4 linked regions of the Arabidopsis thaliana genome follow. The protein of the gene in region 3 interacts with the protein of the main gene of each other region in a pairwise test. Each region holds a gene or a part of one and is shown on either strand. Other genes may lie near its edges. The genes, in order: CAX1, SUC7, CAT6 and ESL1.

What was found.
Region 1: the proteins of CAT6 (region 3) and CAX1 interact in a protein complementation assay, tested with the Arabidopsis thaliana proteins (one large-scale study listed by BioGRID).
Region 2: the proteins of CAT6 (region 3) and SUC7 interact in a protein complementation assay, tested with the Arabidopsis thaliana proteins (one large-scale study listed by BioGRID).
Region 4: the proteins of CAT6 (region 3) and ESL1 interact in a protein complementation assay, tested with the Arabidopsis thaliana proteins (one large-scale study listed by BioGRID).

What each region holds. Positions count from the first base shown.
Region 1 is NC_003071.7:15,988,567-15,995,117, reverse strand, and holds CAX1 (cation exchanger 1), read left to right. Parts: upstream 1-1,832; 5' UTR 1,833-1,939; coding exon 1,940-2,224; intron 2,225-2,514; coding exon 2,515-2,582; intron 2,583-3,166; coding exon 3,167-3,195; intron 3,196-3,300; coding exon 3,301-3,497; intron 3,498-3,720; coding exon 3,721-3,945; intron 3,946-4,045; coding exon 4,046-4,174; intron 4,175-4,298; coding exon 4,299-4,415; coding exon of another isoform or gene 4,416-4,519; coding exon 4,520-4,690; intron 4,691-4,798; coding exon 4,799-5,005; 3' UTR 5,006-5,609; coding exon of another isoform or gene 5,610-5,689; 3' UTR 5,690-6,026; downstream 6,027-6,551. UniProt on the Arabidopsis thaliana protein: Vacuolar cation/proton exchanger (CAX). Translocates Ca(2+) and other metal ions into vacuoles using the proton gradient formed by H(+)-ATPase and H(+)-pyrophosphatase. Involved in ion homeostasis in association with CAX3.
Region 2 is NC_003070.9:24,834,721-24,839,112, forward strand, and holds SUC7 (sucrose-proton symporter 7), read right to left. Parts: upstream 2,722-4,392; 5' UTR 2,523-2,721; coding exon 1,281-2,522; intron 1,181-1,280; coding exon 1,117-1,180; intron 759-1,116; coding exon 589-758; 3' UTR 524-588; downstream 1-523. UniProt on the Arabidopsis thaliana protein: May be responsible for the transport of glucosides into the cell, with the concomitant uptake of protons (symport system). Does not seem to transport sucrose.
Region 3 is NC_003076.8:1,376,908-1,382,998, forward strand, and holds CAT6 (cationic amino acid transporter 6), read left to right. Parts: upstream 1-1,713; 5' UTR 1,714-2,210; coding exon 2,211-2,613; exon of another isoform or gene 2,614-2,729; coding exon 2,730-3,298; intron 3,299-3,410; coding exon 3,411-3,642; intron 3,643-4,363; coding exon of another isoform or gene 4,364-4,395; exon of another isoform or gene 4,396-4,849; coding exon 4,850-5,397; 3' UTR 5,398-5,571; downstream 5,572-6,091. UniProt on the Arabidopsis thaliana protein: Permease involved in the transport of the cationic neutral or acidic amino acids.
Region 4 is NC_003070.9:2,865,616-2,871,170, reverse strand, and holds ESL1 (ERD (early response to dehydration) six-like 1), read right to left. Parts: upstream 3,913-5,555; 5' UTR 3,726-3,912; coding exon 3,579-3,725; intron 3,489-3,578; coding exon 3,426-3,488; intron 3,329-3,425; coding exon 3,239-3,328; intron 3,161-3,238; coding exon 3,035-3,160; intron 2,941-3,034; coding exon 2,875-2,940; intron 2,774-2,874; coding exon 2,698-2,773; intron 2,603-2,697; coding exon 2,538-2,602; intron 2,456-2,537; coding exon 2,363-2,455; intron 2,268-2,362; coding exon 2,187-2,267; intron 2,094-2,186; coding exon 2,009-2,093; intron 1,921-2,008; coding exon 1,877-1,920; intron 1,794-1,876; coding exon 1,731-1,793; intron 1,657-1,730; coding exon 1,576-1,656; intron 1,458-1,575; coding exon 1,404-1,457; intron 1,312-1,403; coding exon 1,252-1,311; intron 1,158-1,251; coding exon 1,043-1,157; coding exon of another isoform or gene 981-1,042; exon of another isoform or gene 941-980; intron 936-940; coding exon 811-935; 3' UTR 515-810; downstream 1-514. UniProt on the Arabidopsis thaliana protein: Sugar transporter. Transports monosaccharides across the vacuolar membrane independently from a proton gradient.

The sequences.
Region 1 (6,551 bases), on a different chromosome or scaffold from region 3:
TTTAAATTCTCAGGCTCAATCGTTATCAATGGACGAGGACTACATAAATAGAACACTTTTTTCTCTTTGGACAAAGCATAGATAGATCACTTATGATCTTTTTTTATAATGAAAATTTAGTTATCCGGGACTAGGGGCGCTATAATCTAAGATTCTCTAGGCCATTGAGTTAGGAGAAAGAACTTAAGGAAAGGAACAATTGATAGGGATGCATTACGCAATGTATAAGAAATCATCTTAAAAGGATTTATTTACGTTGTTGCACAATATATAATTATATATAGTTAAAATATCATTTAATTACGCACCACCACACAGTATAGTTTAAATTCATCGATCCTTGATTTATTCATGACATCTTTCCAAAATCTCCAATACTCTTATTTAATGGTATAGACTCGATGGTGGTAGCAAAGTCATTATAATGTTTTGGAGCGTAATTGACTTTAGATAACCCTATTTTTATCCCTATAGTTAGATCTAAGGTCCTAATTAAATATCGATGACATCCAATAAATTTGGAACGATAAAGAAAGTTTACTGATTTGTTTCGACAAAGTCAATATTTCTGATTTGAGACAAATCAGAAACAAAGTGAATTTGTCAAAATTCCAAGAGCGATGGCGTGACGAATTGCGTGAAGAACAGCCGTAGCTTCAGCCGTGAGCTTCTATGGCCCTGATTTAAATCATAATTTTATAGATGAATATGAAATAACATCATGCTAGAAGTTAAACATAATAAACACTAGCGAACAAAAGCCACCAGCCACCTTCTGCCTTTTATGAAGCTATTACCTCCTCGTTAACCGAAAAAGCCACATGGCAAAACCATCAACATCGCATTCGTACTAACGACACAATTTGGACCCTTAGGATATTCTAAAGAATACTCTTAAAGCATGTGTTATAGACTTATAGCGACGCTAATTTGTTTTCGTATGTGAATTTCATTTTGATACAGAAGTACAGATCCGGGTGTCTTGAATTCTCCGGTTTACTGTGTATAACCAGTTTTCAAGGCTTTTTTTTATTTTTTAATTTCATTTTTAGGTTTCTCATTTTCGGTCATTCATGTCATACCAACCTACTGGAGTGGCTAATGAATCATGGTTCGATAACAATTCATCACCGACGAACTTCTCTGAAGGACCATGTTGACAAAAAATGTCTTGACACCCACGCAACTAGTAGACCTTTTTACTAAAACCTTGGGTCAAAAAGAGTTCGACTGTTTCTAGTCTCCACATTTCCACTTGAAGAGTTGTACGGAGACTTGAGATATAGTATATTTTTAAGTTATAGATTTTGGTTTTACTTTTTTTTTTGTAGCTATCTCAAAACTTGTAAAGAAGGCAAATAACATCAATAAGAAGATTATTTAATCAATGATTTTTAGGATACTAATGAATTTTTGATTTTATAGTATATATTTTTCCTTACATAGTTTTTCCTTTCCAAACACCATTGAATGTGAAAATCAAATTTTAGTCTTCAACATATTCCTTGCTTAGTAATGAAAGATAAGACCATCACATAACTCTTTTGCTATTAGATAAATATATTACTAAGCAAAATTAACTTTATAATTTAGTATGATTTCCAAAGAGTTATTTCCCAAAAATCAAGATTTGAGAGCCATGTGTTACAACTTTCAACTGCAAGATCTATATTAACCATTTCTGATTTTGGTTTCCAAATATTAAAACCATAAATCCCAAAAAATTAAATAATTAAAATCTCAAAGGGAAACTTGGGAAACTTCGTGGAAGTTGCCTTGGTGGACCCAATAAACAAAACTAATCAGTAGTATTTAAACAAATCATGACGCCATTTCTTTACAAAACAAACATAAAGAATCAGCAAAGCAAAATTCGAAGAGACACAAAAAAACCTTCGTTTGTGTCTCAGAATTTACAAAGTTTTGAGTCAGTAGAGAAATGGCGGGAATCGTGACAGAGCCGTGGTCAGTAGCTGAGAACGGAAACCCAAGCATAACGGCGAAAGGATCGAGCAGAGAACTAAGACTTGGAAGAACCGCTCACAACATGTCTTCTTCTTCTTTGAGGAAAAAATCAGACCTCCGAGTGATTCAGAAGGTTCCATACAAAGGTCTTAAAGATTTTCTCTCTAATCTCCAAGAAGTCATTCTCGGAACAAAGCTTGCCATTCTTTTTCCGGCCATTCCTGCCGCCATTATTTGCACCTATTGTGGCGTCAGTCAGGTACACATATTTTTCCGCTGTTTCATTGATAATACATTGAGAACATCATTCAAAATATTCGCAAAAAGAGTTAGAATACGAAACGCCTACAGATTTTTATCAATTTGTCATTAGTATTTAAGATATTTCATTACATCTAATCCAAATTACATCTAATCCAAATTACTAATTACCGGTTACTATTAAATTAGATTTGTAGTCATTGATGTTTTAAAATTAAACTTTGGTGTATCTTGTAACGTATATACATGTACATAATATATGGTACTAAATCGTGATTTTTATTACAGCCTTGGATATTTGGACTTAGCTTGCTAGGACTGACACCTTTGGCTGAGCGAGTCAGCTTTTTGACAGAGTAAGTATCCGACCATCATCTCTTATTTTATCCATTTACATATTTCTATAATTTGAATTCTTCACATTACGACATTTTCTTATCGATCGTGACAAAATTTAGCCAACTGTCGATAAAATGAATCGTATCTATCCATCTGTAGTTAAAAAGATCACGTTATATCAATACTTTTTTCTCTCTTTCAAATAAATCTAGTTACCAACCACTCATTGTAATACTTATCGTTGCTCCATAATACTTTCCACTAAGTTTGCAGTTTTTCCCACTACTTGCTTTAAATCTTAGGGGTTATAATCATGAAGATCACGTTAGTTAGGTCCAATTCCACCATAATTTATGCTTTTTGAAATAAATGGACATGGACCAATATTCTTTGGGGATTCGGCAATGCATGATTGGTTTTTTATTACAACCACACACAATTATTTGACACTCATATGTCAACGTGACAGCATAGTACAAACTCTATCATCTAATCAAGTACATTGAGATTATCTAGAATCATCTTATCAAGTGACGCCATAAAAAGTTTTTTTTTCGTGTGGTAACTTTATTATTCACATTCTCTCGTGATTCTCGTGCAGGCAACTAGCTTTCTACACCGGTCCTACATGTAACGTTTTCTTTACCAACTATTCTTATTCCAATCTACAAACGTTATTTACTTATTTTATCAGTAGAAACTCATTTATTTTTTCTGTGTGTTTTTGAACCGCAGTGGGTGGTCTATTGAACGCAACGTGTGGAAACGCGACTGAATTGATAATCGCGATTCTTGCTTTGACCAATAACAAAGTCGCAGTGGTGAAATATTCGCTGCTAGGTTCGATTTTGTCGAACCTTTTATTGGTTCTAGGGACTTCACTCTTCTGTGGAGGAATCGCTAATATCCGAAGGGAACAGCGGTTCGACCGGGTATGACTTCCCTTTTAACTTCGGTTCAACTTTAATTTCAAAACCAATAATATTTTTTTTAGTTAAGATAATTGAACCGGGAATGAAATAGGTTTTGTACGGCTAGTGTTAACCAGGATTTTGTTTAAAAGTTTAGCTTGATAAACAAGCAAGTGGTATGTTTGAACCAAATTTTAATAACGGATATGCTAAACGAAATCAATTTGTGTGGTCATTGTTGCAGAAACAAGCCGATGTGAACTTCTTCTTACTTCTACTGGGTTTCTTGTGTCACTTGCTGCCATTGTTGGTGGGATACTTGAAAAACGGAGAGGCTTCGGCTGCTGTTTTGTCCGACATGCAACTGAGTATATCGCGAGGCTTCAGTATTGTTATGTTGATCAGCTACATTGCATATCTTGTTTTCCAACTGTGGACTCACCGCCAATTGTTCGATGCACAAGAACAGGTAACTGAAATCTATACACACAAGATAACAGAAGAATGTTATATAGTAGCGATATATATTATTGTATTCTAATGGATCTTTGATACGAAATTTGGTACAGGAAGATGAGTATGATGACGATGTGGAGCAAGAAACCGCGGTGATTAGTTTTTGGAGCGGTTTTGCATGGTTGGTTGGGATGACACTCGTTATCGCATTGCTATCGGAGTATGTTGTAGCCACGATTGAGGTAACTCTTTTGAATTCCACATTGAAACTGACATGATCAACTAAAACATTATAGTAAATACACTTATCGCCAATTGGTTTTGAGTTGGAAACATGCTCGCTAATATAACGTCAACTTTGTTTAGGAAGCATCGGATAAATGGAACTTATCAGTGAGTTTCATAAGCATCATATTGCTTCCTATTGTTGGAAATGCAGCTGAACATGCTGGAGCCGTTATTTTTGCCTTTAAGAACAAGCTTGTAAGTTCGATTTTATTCCTTAAAATTATCGCTTTTAATCGATCCCGAGATCTATTATATAATGACACAATGCAAGAACTTATATCAATCCAAATAATTTCTAGGACATATCTTTGGGAGTTGCGTTAGGCTCTGCGACTCAGATTGGCTTATTCGTTGTCCCCTTGACCATCATCGTGGCGTGGATTTTGGGAATTAATATGGATCTCAATTTTGGTCCCCTCGAAACTGGCTGTCTTGCTGTTTCCATAATCATCACAGCGTTCACATTACAGGTTAAGCATTTTTCGACACCTTACAAAATTATTAATCCACTAGACAAATTAATGGATGATCCAAGTATTGAGGGTTAAATATTTTTGTTATGTTTTGTGGTTCTTTAGGATGGGAGTTCTCACTACATGAAGGGACTGGTCCTCTTGCTTTGCTATTTCATTATTGCCATCTGTTTCTTCGTCGACAAACTTCCCCAGAGTGAGTTAGTTTTCAAATGTATATGCATGCTATTATTAGGGAAAACAATAATTGAGGCATACAACACCCATATATCAAATGGAAATGCTTCATCAAATAAAGTTAAAACGGGTTAAATAGGTTCCCCCAATTATATTTATTTATTAACTAAGTTTTAACATAAATAAATGCTTTTCTTTATGACGAGTCTCTTTACTAATTTTTGAGTAATATCTTAATAACTAAAGTAAAATAGTAATAAAACTTATATTTTATTTTTTTAATTCAAAAACAAACAAAAATTATAATTTTACTGTCAAAAACTGCATAACTGTTGCTTCCGCCAAAACCGAAAAATAACATTTTCCGTTTAAACTGCGAAATTCTGTTTTATGTGATTGTAACTTTTATTGAAAAGTTTGTGAAACTACATAGGCTAGTGAAAAATAAATATCCCTGGAAACTAAGAGAAAATGTTGAAAAATGTTGAAATTCTCGAAGAAGATAACAACTCTCACTAAAAACATTTGGTCTTCACGTTCATTGTTTTTTCACAAAAAAAAAAATTCTCACAAAATCCACGTTTTCTTGCAAAAACCGTCAATTAATTGGGTATAAATAGGTTTAAAATTAATTGGGGTGGGTTCCAATTTAATAAGATTACTACATACTACATGCTACTACTAGATTGACAATGATAATTATTCCCTAACACCAAATTGTGATAATTTTATCTTTCAGAACAAAATGCCATTCACTTGGGACATCAAGCGATGAACAATGTCGTCACTGCAACAGGAGGAGGAGTTTTCTCATCTTAAACGAAGACAAGTACCAATGTGTTGAAACAAAATTTCCAAAGCGAGAGACAATGGAGAAAGGAAAACAAAAACCAATTTTCTTGATTCATTTATAAATATTGAAAGATTTGTCAGAGAGATTCCTGAGATTCAGTGAGTATTATTTCATTTTTCAAAAATGTTGGGTGTCTTGATGAAGATGAGTTTTGAGAACTTTATAAATTCTTCTTGTGGGTGGGTTTTGCAATGAACTATCTATGAATGTCTTGTGTCAAATGTTCTATCTCTTTTTATTAATGGTTTTATCATTTTTTCTGAGTAGTCAATACTATAAAACTATAAATAAATGGAATTTTTGATTTTCCTTTATAATCGAGGTAGAACATTGTTTCTACCAATAGAAATCCAAATTCAAATAATCATATATCTCATCAAGTCAAAATCAGACCTTCGGTGGGATTGAGAATGTCAGAAAAAAAAAAGGGTCAGACCTTTATTGGTGAGCTTTTGTGGGTTAAAAGCCCAATGAATAAGCTATTGGGCCATTTAGATTTATATCTGCAAAACAAATAAATGAAGTGAAGAGTTTGAATTCACACGAAAAACGAGGCTGCTTCATTGGTCAGTCCAATTCAAATATCAACCGTCAAATCAGTCAATCGCCGTTGTATATCCAACGGTTCAGATCTTAGATTCATTCACTAGGCCCTACTTTATTTACATCTATACCCTCTCCTAACGCTCCACCTCCAGAAAAAATTTTAAAGAACACCTGAGAAATCAGAACAGTGGCAGTTTCGTGAATATACGACTGAATCAATCTCTGTAAAATTTCTTCTTCCTCCTTTTTAGCCATTATCACTCTTCTTCTTCTTCGTTTTGT
Region 2 (4,392 bases), on a different chromosome or scaffold from region 3:
CATATGTATAACTTTTTTTTTTCGTGTAAAGTTTTAACGAGTGATGTATTTCAAAATTAGAAAAGAAAAGGAGAAAGTAATATCTATCTTTGTAAAATTCCTAAGAGATATAATAATTAAGTACCAAAACGATGTGAAATGTCGCTAAAATATAGCAATACTTTAATTATTTATAGTTATTACCGAAATATAATAGTTTTGTGACTTATAATAAATCTACCATAAAGAAAGAAAATCCGTGAAAATTAAGAGTCAATTTGGAACAAAATGTTTTAAAATGTAGTATATATATGAGACTAGCTTTTTATCTTTAGGCGAATATGATATTTTCATAAAACGTCCACAATAAAAAAATGTTTTATATTTCATTTGTGCTATTTTTGAAACATTGGGAATGATGTGCTAAATTTGGGAAACTTTTTTATGCAGCATAACTTATGCTGTTTGTTAAAATTGCTATAATTTTAAATTAATTTTAATAATTTAACAGAATAAAGTTTAAATTAATTTTAAGTATACAAGAGTCCTTACCTAGTGCTACAATAATATTAAAAAATGCATATATAATAAATAAAACGCATAAACTTTTTAAGGTAAAACGGTAAATGCCACAATACTGCTGACTGCCGCTGCAATAGCTCCGACCACAAATCCTGGTAAGTTTCCATCTCCAAATAACGCATCAATAGGACCAACTCCAAACGATACAATCATTTGTGGTATGACAATTGCCATGTTTAAAACTCCTAGAGAAAGTCCTGCAAAGATGACAACAAAAAAGACACATCATTATTAATTTGATTTTTTAATATTTATATTACACAAAATAATTGTTGTTGTTTTTATTGATAAATTTATGGTAAATTCCTTGTGGTGAATAAAAACCAATTCCGTAAGAATATCAATTCATCAATATTCAATCTAATTAAGTTAGTAGATTACATACATCACCTTATATTAAATGTTTTGTTAGATAACTTATTATCCAAATTAACTTAAATTATGAAGATAAATGGAGACTGATCTCTCAATTTTTTTTTTTTGTAATCACAAATTTAATTAGCATTTACTAGAGAATGTTTAAATAATTTTAGGAAAAAAAGATGTTAAAAATACTTTGACCGGCGCCGGAGCTGCTTGATATTATAGAAGCTAGTGCGAACGGAATACTGAATGTAATCTATAAAAAGTTTCAAAAAAATGTTAACAAATATTAAACCATGAATGATAAATTGATCATAATAGTAACAAAAGTTGTATAAAAGACATGTTGGACTTACAGCAAGAGGAATTCCAAGAAGAGCAAAGAGAGTCAATGCTCCAGCTCTGATGCCATCGGTAGGAAGGGCCATTGGACCGGCGATTCTCCGGTGCTCCTCCGCCTTTTTAGTAACCAAAACCGTCATTGCCAAACACACGGCGAGAATAATATTCACAGCTCCCCAAAGCCTTTTAGCTCCTCCCATCTTCCTACTAATACCTTCAATACCAAGTGACATGACTCCAAGAACGATAGAGTTAAGCATCAATCCCAATGCACCAACATGAATTCCTTGGTTGTATAGTTTCTTCATTTTGTCATCTCCTTTTGAGTCTCCACCATACACTTCACGACCCATCCAATCAGTATCGTATAAAAGAAAAGGGAACCATGCGATCCAGTTCAAGGCCGTGACGATTAGTAGCATCCACATTGGACGTTTCATTACCTTGAAAGCTCCAAAGATCTCACCGAAGAACGGAGTTTTCTCGTTGTCGGAGTCTGCCTTAGGCGACCATTGCTTGTCTTCCACGTACCATAGAGCTATGATGGTGACGACTAGGAGGAGAGTGATGGAAAGGAAGAAACAACTCTTGAGATTTGCGCAATATATGTCGCACGCTTTAGTCATTGTGAAAGGGAAGATCTTGTAGAGGTTAGTGTACGATCCTGCCGCATATCCCAAAACGTTTCCAACGGCCATGAAGAAAGAGAAAAACGCGTTTGCCGTTCGCGTTTTCTGAGCGTCTCCAGCTGCTAAATCACCAAGAAAAGCACGGCATGGTCCTTGGAGAGTGTTGTTAGCCACGTCAAGGATCCAGAACCCGAGAGCGAAGATAACAACGGCTCGCATCTTGACAGGTTTGTCGATTTTGTCTCCCATGCTGTGGCCGAAATCAGCCGCATATCCGATTAGTACAACAGAAACAGCGACCAGCAAAGCACCCGTGGCGATGAAAGGACGACGACGTCCGAATCTTGACGTGCATCGGTCGCTGAAGTAACCGACTGATGGCTGGACAAGCAAGCCGGAGACAGGACCGCAAAGCCAAATGAAAGATGGCCATTTGTGTGGGACTCCAAGAAGCTGCACGTATGGAGTAAGCAGAGACAGTTGAAGAGCCCAACCAAACTGAATACCGGCAGCAATAGAAGCCACCGATATCATCTTTCTCAGCGGAGATGGCCCATCAAGATCCACCGACGAGGAAGACTGTCTATCCACAGTCGTCTCATCTTTGTTTGCTTGGAGGTCACTCATCTTCTTCACCCTTGTCTTAGAGGTTGTGTTTGTTGTTGGCGCTGAGGAGATGAAAGAAAGTGGGCTTGTCTCTTAAAGACAAGGTGGAGAAGAGAAATGAGACTTATATTTCTATAGATTTTTTGATTCTGTGTTTCAATAGTTTGGAAAAGTAAATCTTTTATAGTAATGCTATAACGCATATATCCTTATAGGATTGTTGTAATAATGACAAGACTAACGTTAATAAAACCGTAATCAGTTTATCATCTTATCTTTATATCATTTATTTTGAGATTGTGACAGATTTTTCAATTTCTTGTTTCTGTAGTATGACTTTTATAAATGATTAACTGAATAACAAGAGATTATAAATGGTTTTGAATGATTTTATATGTATTTCATGTTTAATAACATAGGATATAGAAAGATATTTAATTAGAAATTATTAGTTGAATAACAGGAGATCTAAAAAACCAAAAGGGATGATTGGTTGTTGCTGTAAAGTCTTTCCACAGCCCAAAATATGTCTACAACATTAAGACTCATCCAGTGTTGCTTTAGACAGTATTACAAAAGCTACCGGCTATATCCCAAATATAGCAAAATCAAATGTCTTGGCTGTACGTTATCAAAATTTCCACATTTGTATTGTACATCACGTAAAGAAGCCTGTGAACTTTCTTTCTCTCTCTATTTTTTCACAATTGTTTTGCTCTTTGCACTAAAGAAAAGAATATCTAATGACAAAAATTAACATGACTATAATATAAAGATAAGTAAATACTTTTACACTAAAATTTTGTAGCACTAACAAGTGTTTTATGTTTTTAAATGAATATCGTATTCGTTTTATTAAATAAAAACTTTAATTCAGTTTGTAAATAATATTATATTTATTAAATCCAAAAAAATATTATTTAAATCCATATACAGTGATGATGATGCTATCACGACAAATTAGTCCAAAATGGGCAGCGTATATTTTCTTATATGGGCCTAAACAAAGGAAACTAACTAATTATAATCAACTTATGATCATCAGTCAATTATGAAAGGTTATATTTGACAGGAGATTGTGTGTTTAAAACCATTTTGAGTATATCTGTTTTGAATCATTTGAGACAATTGTGATTTTTGCTTGTTCTGATCCCATTCTTTTAGTCTCGTGCATATGTGATCTTGTATTGTCTAATAAGGATTATGATCTGTCCCCTAAACTTCAAAATTTGGAGGCCATGATCTGATTTTTGAATGTGGTTCTTATAGTTTTTTGCTTGATATTTTGCAGACCAACAAAGAATGATGGTGAATATCCATCTAAGTCAAATACAGATTCCATTTCTCTTTTAATACAAATCAAATAAGAAAACTGAAGCTTGCAAGCTCGCTTGTACTAAGTTTCTGAAAGTTTTTATTCTCGACTAAATAATGTCCAAGATGGAAGCAAGACATAAGCTCCATTGTTGATAGAATGGAGCTTATGTTGGCTTTTGTTTTTGTTTCAAAATGGTTTTTAACTTATGTGTGATTGCTTAGCCAAATGTGGACTCTGAAGATGGTTTTCAGTTTTAGATATGAATGTCCTTGTTACTATTGTTACACAGTCACACAGAGTTTACAAAAGATCATTCATCATTGTTTATAAGAGAACAAATTGATAACATATATCTTTTTGATGTGGATGGATTTGTTAACCCTCTAGAAGAACACCCAAATTTGGCTACAAAGTTGTCAACACATTGTTCTTCGTTCTTCTTTGACTTTGACTAAAAATAAAAATAAACCTCGGCCTAAGAAAATAGCGTGTTCACATTGGATGATTAAGGCCTGGACCGAGTATCAAATAATATCTAAATGGGCCTAGCTAAGCAGTTACGTAAGCTAAATT
Region 3 (6,091 bases):
ACATTATCTTTTTTATTTATTTCATTATTACTCTTTTGTGTACCCAAAAATGTGAGACTTATTGGTGACCATACAAGTCATAATTTATTCTTGTCGAAATTAATTTATATATAAATGTATGCGTATGTGTGTTGTAGATACGAATATGTGTCAACGTTGCTGACACTAATCTAATTATCATTATTGTGAACAAAGAGAGGCTTAAGAGTGTTCGATTGAAGTAGATATTTAATACTATTTGTTTGGATAAGGTAGTGTTAATTCAATGCAGTGCGCGGCCAACCAAAAAATAAAAAGATCAATTGCAACGTGTATCCAGTTACGGGTATGATTGGGAGCGATAGAACTTTTACATAAACATACACAAATCATTCTACAACACTTTTTAATCAAGTTTCATAGATGGTTAGATGAGTTCTATTCGAATTAACCTTATAGTGAGTTTTGGTGTGGTAAAAATAGTGTTGATTTTGGATTACATATACACATGCGGTTAGTTGGTGGTGTTGGTGATTTTGGATTTTGGATTTCAGTGAACAGCATCAAAGGCTCCGAGTTCGACCCATGAAAATAAAATCAGTCAATCCATTGCTTCTTCTTCATCTTAAAGCGTCGAGTCTAATGCCGATTTCTCTATGGAGAATACTCATCAGGATCATGATACAACCTGCAAACATGTTGCGTTGCCCTTATCACAGAGAACAGATCACTCATCTTTTTTTTCAAGAACTCACTCATGCATATTACCACTCACACATACTATCAAATAACACGGCACTAACACTAAAACAAATTACTAAGTTACAAACTGTACCAACACAAGATTTGCGGTTATTTATTCCTCTAAGTACCAAACTATTCGTGTCCTCGTTTTAAAACATTTAAATGCAGAGACAAAATCAGTTGAAGAAGACCTTAATTAGCTGCAAATATGCGATAATATTTTCCTAGTAATGCCAAGTTGCCAACTATAAAAAATGAGAAGATTGTCGAAAAGAACCAACTAATTACAAAAACTCATTTCCTCAAATTCTGGTCACGCTTCGCTTTAAACCTGTGTGCTTATCCATTGAAAACAAAACAACATCCCACGTGTCACCTTCTTTGCCACACGTGTGAATCTTAAACCACACATAGCCGTTAGAGGTAACGTCGTTACCGTGTCTTATGATATACGGAAGTTAACGCCGTTTGTTTAGTTTTTTCTTTTTAACGTCCGTGACGGTTTCATAACCTCGGGAACTAAGTAAGGAAGAGCTTTTGAAGCAGAGAGTCGTTACGTTTCAAACAACCGATCATAGTCATAGACACAATTATGGTATTAATTTCATTAATTAGTACTAATTCCCTATCAATTACAAGGAACGCAATTACAAAATTTTGTCTATAATAACATCAATTTTAGACCCTCATTTCAAGGAAAAATGTGGGAATGATTCTCCAATGACATATTTATGATTAAAAAGTTCATTTCTCAGGTTCGAAATATTTTGACCATTTTGAAATATACTAATAATGTTGTTTAAAAACATATCTTATTAGAATGTTTATATGGTGTTATAGTGTTGAGATATTTTTTTTAAATATAAATAATTGAGTACAAATCTATAAATTTAAACAATAAAGAGTGTTATTAACAATTAATGATAAGTAGTAAAAAAAAAAGAATATTCTTCAATAAAAACCGTAATTCATTTTTTTCCTATTTTTTAAAAAACAAAACAAAATAAGATAACCATAGGAAATGCCACTCTGTTACAACTCAGCAGTCTAATGATATTTAATAAAATACCAATTTTAGTGGTTTATGGTCAACAAAAATAGTTTACAAGCTTAGCTAGATGTGAATACATACTATATACTACCAAACTAGTTTATGATTTGTATATGAATCAATAAAAGCGTTAGCATAATTAGTATATATAAATGTAACTGTAATTGGACCAAAGAGATAAAGCATCTTGGGTTTAGTAAGCTTTTGAGCTGATGATGCTTATGTGATTAATGTGAATATAAGAATTAGGGAACAATCTTGTTGTTAATAACAATACTTATAACATTTAAATGCCCTTAAGTATCGTCATAATTACATCTTTGTCCCTATCCTTCTCTTTTTCACTTTTCCTAATCTCTAATATAAAACCAACTCTTGTCAAATTCAACAAAATTCTCACACAAACCGACCCGACCCGAATCTGGCCGGTGAGAAAATGGAGGTCCAAAGCAGCAGCAACAATGGTGGTCACTCTTCTTTCTCCAGTCTCCGCGTCTACCTCAACTCTCTTTCCGCGACGCCTTCTCGCTTATCCCGCCGCGCTATTTCCGTCTCCACCTCTTCCGACGAGATGAGTCGCGTCCGCGCCGTCTCCGGCGAACAGATGCGCCGTACTCTCCGGTGGTACGATCTCATTGGACTCGGAATCGGGGGAATGGTCGGCGCCGGTGTCTTTGTCACCACCGGCCGTGCTAGTCGTCTCGACGCCGGTCCTTCAATTGTCGTCTCTTACGCCATCGCCGGGCTCTGCGCTCTCCTCTCCGCTTTCTGTTACACCGAATTCGCCGTCCATCTCCCGGTCGCCGGCGGTGCCTTCAGCTACATCCGTATCACATTCGGTTAGTCTCCCGCGAAAATCATCACTACTCCTCCGATCTGTTCACGGTTTTCTGAAAATTTTAATTTCAAAATCAAAAACCGTAACTGATTTCTTTTCTGTTACATTTCCGTTCAGGTGAATTTCCAGCATTTTTCACCGGAGCAAATCTTGTAATGGATTACGTAATGTCAAACGCGGCCGTTTCGAGAAGCTTCACCGCTTATTTAGGAACAGCTTTCGGGATCTCAACTTCCAAGTGGCGATTCGTCGTCTCCGGTTTACCGAAAGGATTCAACGAGATTGATCCAGTCGCAGTTCTCGTCGTCCTCGTAATCACAGTCATCATCTGTTGCAGTACAAGAGAGAGTTCCAAAGTGAACATGATAATGACTGCATTTCACATCGCATTCATATTCTTCGTGATCGTGATGGGATTCATAAAAGGAGATTCAAAGAATCTATCCTCACCGGCGAATCCAGAGCACCCCTCGGGATTTTTTCCGTTCGGCGCGGCGGGAGTTTTCAACGGAGCTGCCATGGTTTACTTAAGCTACATAGGATACGACGCCGTTTCAACCATGGCGGAAGAAGTTGAAAATCCGGTCAAAGATATCCCCGTCGGTGTTTCCGGCTCCGTCGCAATCGTCACCGTTCTTTACTGTCTCATGGCAGTCTCTATGTCAATGCTTCTGCCATACGATCTGGTCCGTACTTCAAATTTATTATTTTCTTATTGTATATTTCCGTTTTCATAAAGACGGCACGTAGTCTGAGTCTAAAGCTGAAAACGGCGGGGCATGTGTTGTTGTAACGCAGATAGATCCGGAGGCGCCGTTTTCCGCGGCGTTCAGAGGATCGAACGGCTGGGAATGGGTGACGAAAGTGGTGGGGATAGGAGCAAGCTTTGGGATATTAACATCACTTTTGGTGGCAATGTTAGGTCAGGCTCGCTACATGTGTGTCATCGGACGGTCCAGAGTGGTCCCCTTTTGGTTCGCTAAGATTCATCCCAAAACATCTACGCCAGTCAACGCCTCCACTTTTCTTGGTACGTTTCTTTGTCTTCATTCATTCATCAAAAAAACATTTATTTAATTACTGTCAAACAAACAATGATGAAATATAATCAAATCATATATAGTTAAAAATAAATTTTGGTCCAGAAAGTGAGATAGAGGAGTAGTAGTTAGGTTAAAAGGGGACCCCAATGAGAACCGTTTCGGTTGTTTCCATGATCTTTTTATTGATTTGAACTTTTAACGTTTTCTCTAAATCATACGATCCACGTGATTTCATTATATATACGTGTCCATTTCAATATATTTTAAAGATCAAAAGCTTTTGGACGTTACCATTTTAAAAATCTTCTGCTATCGATTTCGATCGTGACAAGGGCTATGTACGTTGTGTAAGTATATCTCAATGTAGGGACATGGTTCAATGTGATTTGTATCATTGTATGGTGTTTAAGACAAGAGTCACAGAGAGAGCATCTGAGTCCGATTGCTAGATGTCGTTGTTCACCACTGGTTTTCTTTTCTGCTCTGTGAAAAGTTTCGTGTTTTTTGATTGTTCAAAGATTCAATCTTTTCAACGGTCTTGATTGTGATGGATTTGGTGGGTCTCTTTGGTTCTTTTTGTGTCTCCTTAGTGTTAAAAATACATATTCCACTTTTTTTTAAATAAAAATACGATAGTTGGATTATTAGTCATCCATTGGACGACTAGTAGTTAATCAATCATTTTTTTATTTCATTTTTTTTGTGAAGATACTACTAAGCCTAGTCGGCTGATATTTTGACAACTCCAACTTTTCGTAATTTCCGGAACATCTGGCTGAGCTATGCAACTCGTGAGTTGTTAGGTACCAGGATTTAGAATAATGACCATCTTTGATAAAATACATAGAAGATTGGAAAACATATACTAACGTTTAGAGCCATATTTATATGCATAATCTTTGTAACAAGCATTGTTTTCCTCATTAAGTTACTCTCATGCCTTTGTCACAAAATGGATCATTATAAAGGGGGTCATCATCGTTCAACCTTATCCTTGCTAATTTTAGCACCCACTAACTCACATTTGCTATATCCATCAATAGCATTGACAAAAAGACAAAATAAAGGAACAAATCCTCCCACTACCATTCATTTCAAATTTGGACTTTTTTCACTAGTCGAATCATCTACAGTTATAGAGAATATGACCATTGACCAATCTTATTAACGTTCGTATATTTTATCCCTTATCAGGCATTTTCACGGCGGCTCTTGCGCTTTTCACCGACCTAAACGTCCTCCTAAACCTCGTATCCATTGGAACACTATTTGTCTTCTACATGGTCGCAAACGCTCTCATCTTCAGACGTTACGTCCCGGTTGGACCCACCAAGCCGTGGCCCACACTCTGCTTCCTCACACTATTCTCCATAACCTCTCTCGTCTTCACCCTCATCTGGAAACTTGTGCCGGAAGGTAAGCCTAAAGCTTTCATGCTCGGTGCCAGTGCGGTGGTGGCTATAGCCATCGTGCTGAGCTTTCAGTGCGTGGTTCCCCAGGCTAGGAAACCTGAGTTGTGGGGAGTCCCGTTCATGCCGTGGACCCCGTGCGTGTCGATATTCTTGAACATTTTTTTGCTTGGTTCGTTGGACGCACCCTCTTACGTCCGGTTTGGATTCTTCTCCGGTTTGATCGTGCTCGTGTATTTGTTTTATGGCGTTCATGCGAGTTCTGATGCTGAAGCGAATGGATCTTTTGGTGTGAAAGATGGACAAGTCATGAAAGAGCTAATTGAAGTGTGAAAAGTATTTATTTAGTTTAGTTTTCTAAAGCATCATGAACCAAAATGTAATTAAACTCTCTAATTTTTTTTCTACATGAGGGGGTTTGAAATATTAATGAGAAAATATTAAATACAACTTTAGGAAAAAAAAGAATATGTATTTTGGTTTAACGAACGACCAAAATGAAATCGGTCATATGCAAGTCAATCTGTTGAGAGAATAGAGAAACTGATGATATTTTTGTTTTACCGTTGTGTACAATTCACAACACACAATATTTTTAAATACAGTACAAACTATTAGGTTACAAGTTTTTGAGATTGAAAGATCAAATCTTTGTCAAACCTATAAGGCAAGATCACGTATGAAATATACATGTGATAGATAACATTAATAAATGGAAACGTTAGATAGACATAGGTCTCTCATAAATACGAGATGGCGTACAATTGAAAACGATGGGTCCCCATCTTTCTCACGGGACACACATACGTGACATTATCCGCAACTTCATATATATCCAACAAGATCACCTTTTCTTTTTCATTTTTTTGTTCACAATCACTTGTTTCAAATTCCTTGAGGATATTTATACATTCTTTTATTATTTGCATTTATATATTCTATATATCAATAGTACTATTGAACTTTCGTAAACAAAGAACCATGCACAAAAAGTTTCAGTTTATTAAAGATGTCTTCATTTTTCTAC
Region 4 (5,555 bases), on a different chromosome or scaffold from region 3:
GGATAGCACTTGCAATATATTTACTAAATGACTAAAAATTCAATAGTTTTAACGAACAAAGAAAAAAAAAGTCAAGATAATTGAAATATCAGAAAGGTGGTTAAACAATTAAAGGATTGATCTTTATGATGTATGCAAATAGATCAACAGATGCACGTAACCTACCACAAATCTGGTTGGCACAGCGATAGCTTAATTACGTCTAGGGAGAGAATTAGAAAACCTCATTTTCGGAACCTTAAAAGGAAATAAATTGTCTTTATTCTTTACTAACTTTTAGAGAGGATAAGAATTAACCTAGTTTTATTTGTTGCCCTATCACTATCCGTATCTGAAAACCCTATGCTATCGAGAAAATATAAAAAAGAACAATGATTTTTGAAAAGGAAATATCTCACAAATCAATTCAACTTTTAGGAATGAGGCCGGAAATGTGGAACACATACAGAACAAATAAGTCCGAAAGTAGAAACTGTGGGTCTACAGGTTTCAGAGAACTGGTAGATTGATTAATAGCATTAGCAACTAGTAAAAGTAAAAAAAAAAAATGTTAAATATACAATGAAAGCAAAAAGCCAATACCTTAAAGTTCAATTTTATATTTCTTTTTTTTGGGTGTAAAACTGGGACTATACTATACATACATTGGGCTAATTTACTGAGACAGAGAGATATCTAAACCTTATGTTCAAGTGATCTCTTTCTCAATTGCACATCAAATGAGGTAACAATTACAACAAAAAACTATAAACCTCCCCCCAATTGTAATCTAAGAAAAAATGAATAACTTTAAACAAGTCAAACTTGATCTCATTGTAGAAAATCTGTAAGAGAAGCTTGTATATCTTCCAATGTTCTTCCTTTAGTTTCGGGTACCATCGCATAAATAAAGACTATACCCGCACCACATATAGTAAAGAAGATCAAGAACGTTCCTGAAACAGATTAATATATTTCAAAAATTAAATCAGATTAAAGATCTAATTTTTTTTTGAGAGTTTAATGACTCTATAGTATATTATATAGTAGTATGTATTTATACCTGATGCGTTCCACTCTAGCATGAAGTTGTAGGCGAAAGCAACAATCCAACCAAAGGACCAGTTGGCTAAGGTAACCAGAGTCCCAGCAGAAACTTTAACATTCATTGGGAATATCTGCAAAATAAAAAATGTAACATTTTTTAGAGCTGGAAAAAATATATATATGTCGGTTTTTGAGGAGTTAATGTTAATGTTCATGTTTGTTTACCTCAGACATGATGATCCATGGTAAGCCTCCCATGCCTACGGCAAATGAAGAGATGAAACCCTGTAATATGATGTCAAATTCAGATCAAGTTATACAAGAGCTATACTTTAAGTTGCTTGTTTATTATGTCTAAGAAATGACTTTAAACGTACCACTACACCGATACATGTGAAAATCGGAGTGAGCTCATCAAGCATGCCATATGACTGTCCAAGAACAAAAGTAGAAAAATTTTAGTATAACTGGTAAGAATCTCCAATAAACAGCAGCAAAAAAAGTTTGTATATATCTTTGGTTAGAAAGCGAATCGTTAATGTTAATTACCCGAAAGCAGAAGGAAAAACTGAGGAGCAAGCTGAAAAAGCACATTCCACCGGTAGAGGCCTGTAAATAAAGATCATTCATCTGTTAAAAGATATATGCTAAATTTTGTTGCTTCATTTGATATTTGACCAAAAGATCAGATAGCAAAATCTTACCAATAGAAGTGGTCTTCGTCCCATTTTCTCAACCAAAATCAGACCCAATAGAGCTTTTGGTATCTACAAAAGCAGAACACATGAGCATAAGTGTACTTCTTGGCAAGATTTTTCACGAATAAATGAAACTACGTACAAAGACATACCATGATCACTGCAAGAATCATTGAGCCAATGCTGCTTGGAAACCCTGCCATTAGTAAGAAAATATTTGTTACTCCCAAATGAAGACAGTAAATTATCGTAACATGCGAAACAGAGTTTGTTTATCTATTTACCTCCTTTATCAAATACGCTACCGACATAGTACATAAGTCCTGAGCTTCCAGAGAGTTGTTGTAGAAGCATTAGTCCCACACCAATCTGAACAAAATGTCACAAACTTCAGAGAGTAAGTATAACGGTACAAGAGAAAATCAACTTTTTTTGTCACAAAACGTTTGAGAATAAACTTACAACAACAGATGGAGCATATCTTCTCTGAAACAAATCCATAACCCGCGATTTTGGTCCTTCATCAAACAAGATCATGGTTTCCTATAGTTGACATTTCCAATGATTTGTTCATTAGTCATGTTTTATTGAAAACAACACAATTTAAAAACAGAGAGATGTGTGAAAAGTTGCAATACTTTGATAGTGTTGGCTTCTTCAGAGATATCTGCATCATCTCCGCGAAGACTTTGCAATGAAGCTCTACATTCTTTTTCATGTCCCCATTTTCCCTATACACCATTGTAAACCATATTGAGTTTTACTTCACACTTTTTTTAAAAAAGATCAAAACTTAAAAAGGGCTAAACGTACCAGTAGTCTAGGGGACTCTGGAATAAAGAACAAAGTCACAACTTGCAACGCACATGGAATGAGACCTGAGAGACAGAAACCGATAAACTTAAATCACTTCTTGATGAAAATTTCATAACTAACCTGCTAGAAAGAAAAAAAGGATTAGGAAGAAGCTTACCGATTAAGGCCAAGTTACGCCAATGAACAAAATTTCCAATGACGTAGAATAAAGACAATCCACAACTCTGCATCAGCTGTAACGACATTTGAACAAATTTTAAGAACATTAGTATAATATATATCTTTTTTATTTTATGGTTATAAGAATTTATTCTCTAATTATTCTTTAGTTTACCTGATTAGCAAATACAAACGCTCCTCGAACATGTTTTGGTGTTATTTCTGCAATGTAAACTGGTATCTGAAGGCAACAGAGTTAACACAAAGTCAGTAAAAATAAATAAGTATATAATACACAAAATAAATGGAAAAAAAGAAAGTAAAAGAATTATTACCACATAGCTTAATAAACCAACTGCAAATCCTGTGGATAGTCTTCCAATATCAAGCCACATGGAGTCTTTTGCTAATGCTACTGCAACCCAACCGAAGATGCAGAAAATTTGAGCAAACCACATAGTCTGTTTAAGAGAAAAATTCATCAGTACATGATCTTGAAACATATGTTTGTATGAATTTCAAATTGTCAGGAAATTTACCCCTTTTCGACCCATGAGATCTGCAACTTTCCCGCTGAAGATGGCACCAATCATTCCTCCAAAAGTCATGATTGAACCAAACATGGAGTACTGAAGTAGTAAACAAAAACAAAAAAACAGAGTAATTTAAGCAAAACTAGCACTTTTTGAGTAAAGATTCAAGAAAAGAGAGAGGGTTGCTTCTTACTTGTGCAACAGAGAGACCTAAATCATTTATGATCCCTGTTTGAGCAACTGATGAATAACCTGCCTGTAAAATCCAACCCCAAACTTTCAAATCACAGAGCAAAACAAACAGAGAAATTGTTTTAAAAAAAAGATGAGTGATTTGATGACTAACCGCACAACCGAAGCAGAAAGAGCCACAAACAGAAACGAAAGTACTGAAAAGTACAACAGCAGTGATACGACATTCGTTGATGTCGTTTTGGTTCTTCCTCAGTAGCAAACCAGCTTCCAAGTTTCTTGAGTTCTCCGACATCGTCATCTTTAACTTCTCCACGGAGAAAGAACAGAGAGAGTTTTGTTGAAAGGGTTCTGAAGTTATATTTACGAATAAATATTTGCTTTTTTGTCTTCCATAAGAGGACTGAGTTTAAAGCTGATTTATATTCCTTGATTAATGGAGGAGGAAAGGCAGAGGTCAGCTTCCCCAATCTTTTCTTTTGTGTCACGTTTCTGTTGGGGTTTTATTCAATTTTATATACACGTATTTTGTTTTTTAATTTGAAATTGTATCTTCTTCTGTTTTCCTTATTTAAATTTTTAAATATTGTGTAATTTGTAATTGGACTGGCGTATGAATTTTTTGTTGTCAATACGTATGATATTTATTTTTGTTTACTTTTTTTTTTTCTTGGCCGACAGGCGAATGATATTTATTTAAAAGTTTTGCCTTTTTGAAAGAATATTTATTTAAAGTTATGTGATTCATCATCATCTTTATGAAATTGTGTTTTGTGTCTTAGTGGATGCTTTGATTATTTTATGCTAGTTGTTATCCACTCTTTATTTATTGGGTAATTTTGAAGGTGGTCCCTATACCGAATCAAAACCGTAATTGGGTGAAATTTTGTGATGAATTTTATGTAAGTGAATGTCTAGATACATTTATGAATCCGTTTTACATAAACCAGTTTAGTGTTAACCGGTCTAATTAAGTTTTTCTTTTCTTTTTTTGTTTAAGCTTTGGTTTTGTCTTTTTGGTCTGTTTTTTTTTTATATATAACCAAACAATGTAACTATTTTGTTCTCAAAATAAAATAAAAATAAACAATAAACACATGCCACATGTTCTACCGTTATCTAAAGATCAGGATATCCTAGCTACTATATTCTTATCCATGGAGCAAACCAGATAAAAAAAGTTTTTTTTTTTGTGTGTGTGTCTTTTTGTTATGGTCCAGTTCAATAACCAATAACCATTTGTTAGTCATATTTGATTCAGATTTTTTTCCCAAACTATTCCTTAGACAATCTGACGTCATTACTAAACAAAAATCATCCTCAATAATTTAAAACACTGAAATATCCGATAATTATTTAATATTTTAATTCTAATTTAAAACACTAAATATTATTATTTTTTGAATTAATGAATCGAGCCAAATTAATCATCTATTTAGAATCGTCTAGAGCGTATACGTACTATTTTGGTTTTAATAGAAGTGTGATCATTTGAGAAAATCCAATGTATTTTTTTCCAAAAAAATATTATTTAATTACCCATAGTCAAGATTAATTATAAATAATATACAACAGAATTTTGTCAATGTAAAGCTAATTTGTTTATTAACTCGAGTATAAAATGTCAAACATTATATTGAAAAACGAGTTCTTAAATAATCTGGATAAGAGTAAAATACAATATTTCTTACGTGAATAACCAACTTACAAATATTATACTACCTACGTAGTTAATCAATTCATCACAAATTGATATGAGTTGTCACACTTGCTATAGTTTCCATGCAATAAATAGTAAACGCGTTGATCGTGGTTTGTTTGAAGTTTACATAAAAAAAAAAAAGTCGTGCACGTTAGCTATTGCGTTAGAGAAAATGATACAACTCAACATTCCTTGTAAGCAAATCTAGAAACTACTACATATCCATTTTTCAAATGTCTTACGTTCAATCAACGGTTTCCCCTCACACTTCTTCATATATTTTGACATTTTTGTCAATATCTAATTTGATACGACAGACTTTTCTCTTTCTAGTTGCGGACACAAGGAATCATCAACAACCTTTGAATTTTCCCGGCAAAAAAGGTATTTGTTGTCCTATCTCATTCTATCAATAAAAAGGAAAAAAGA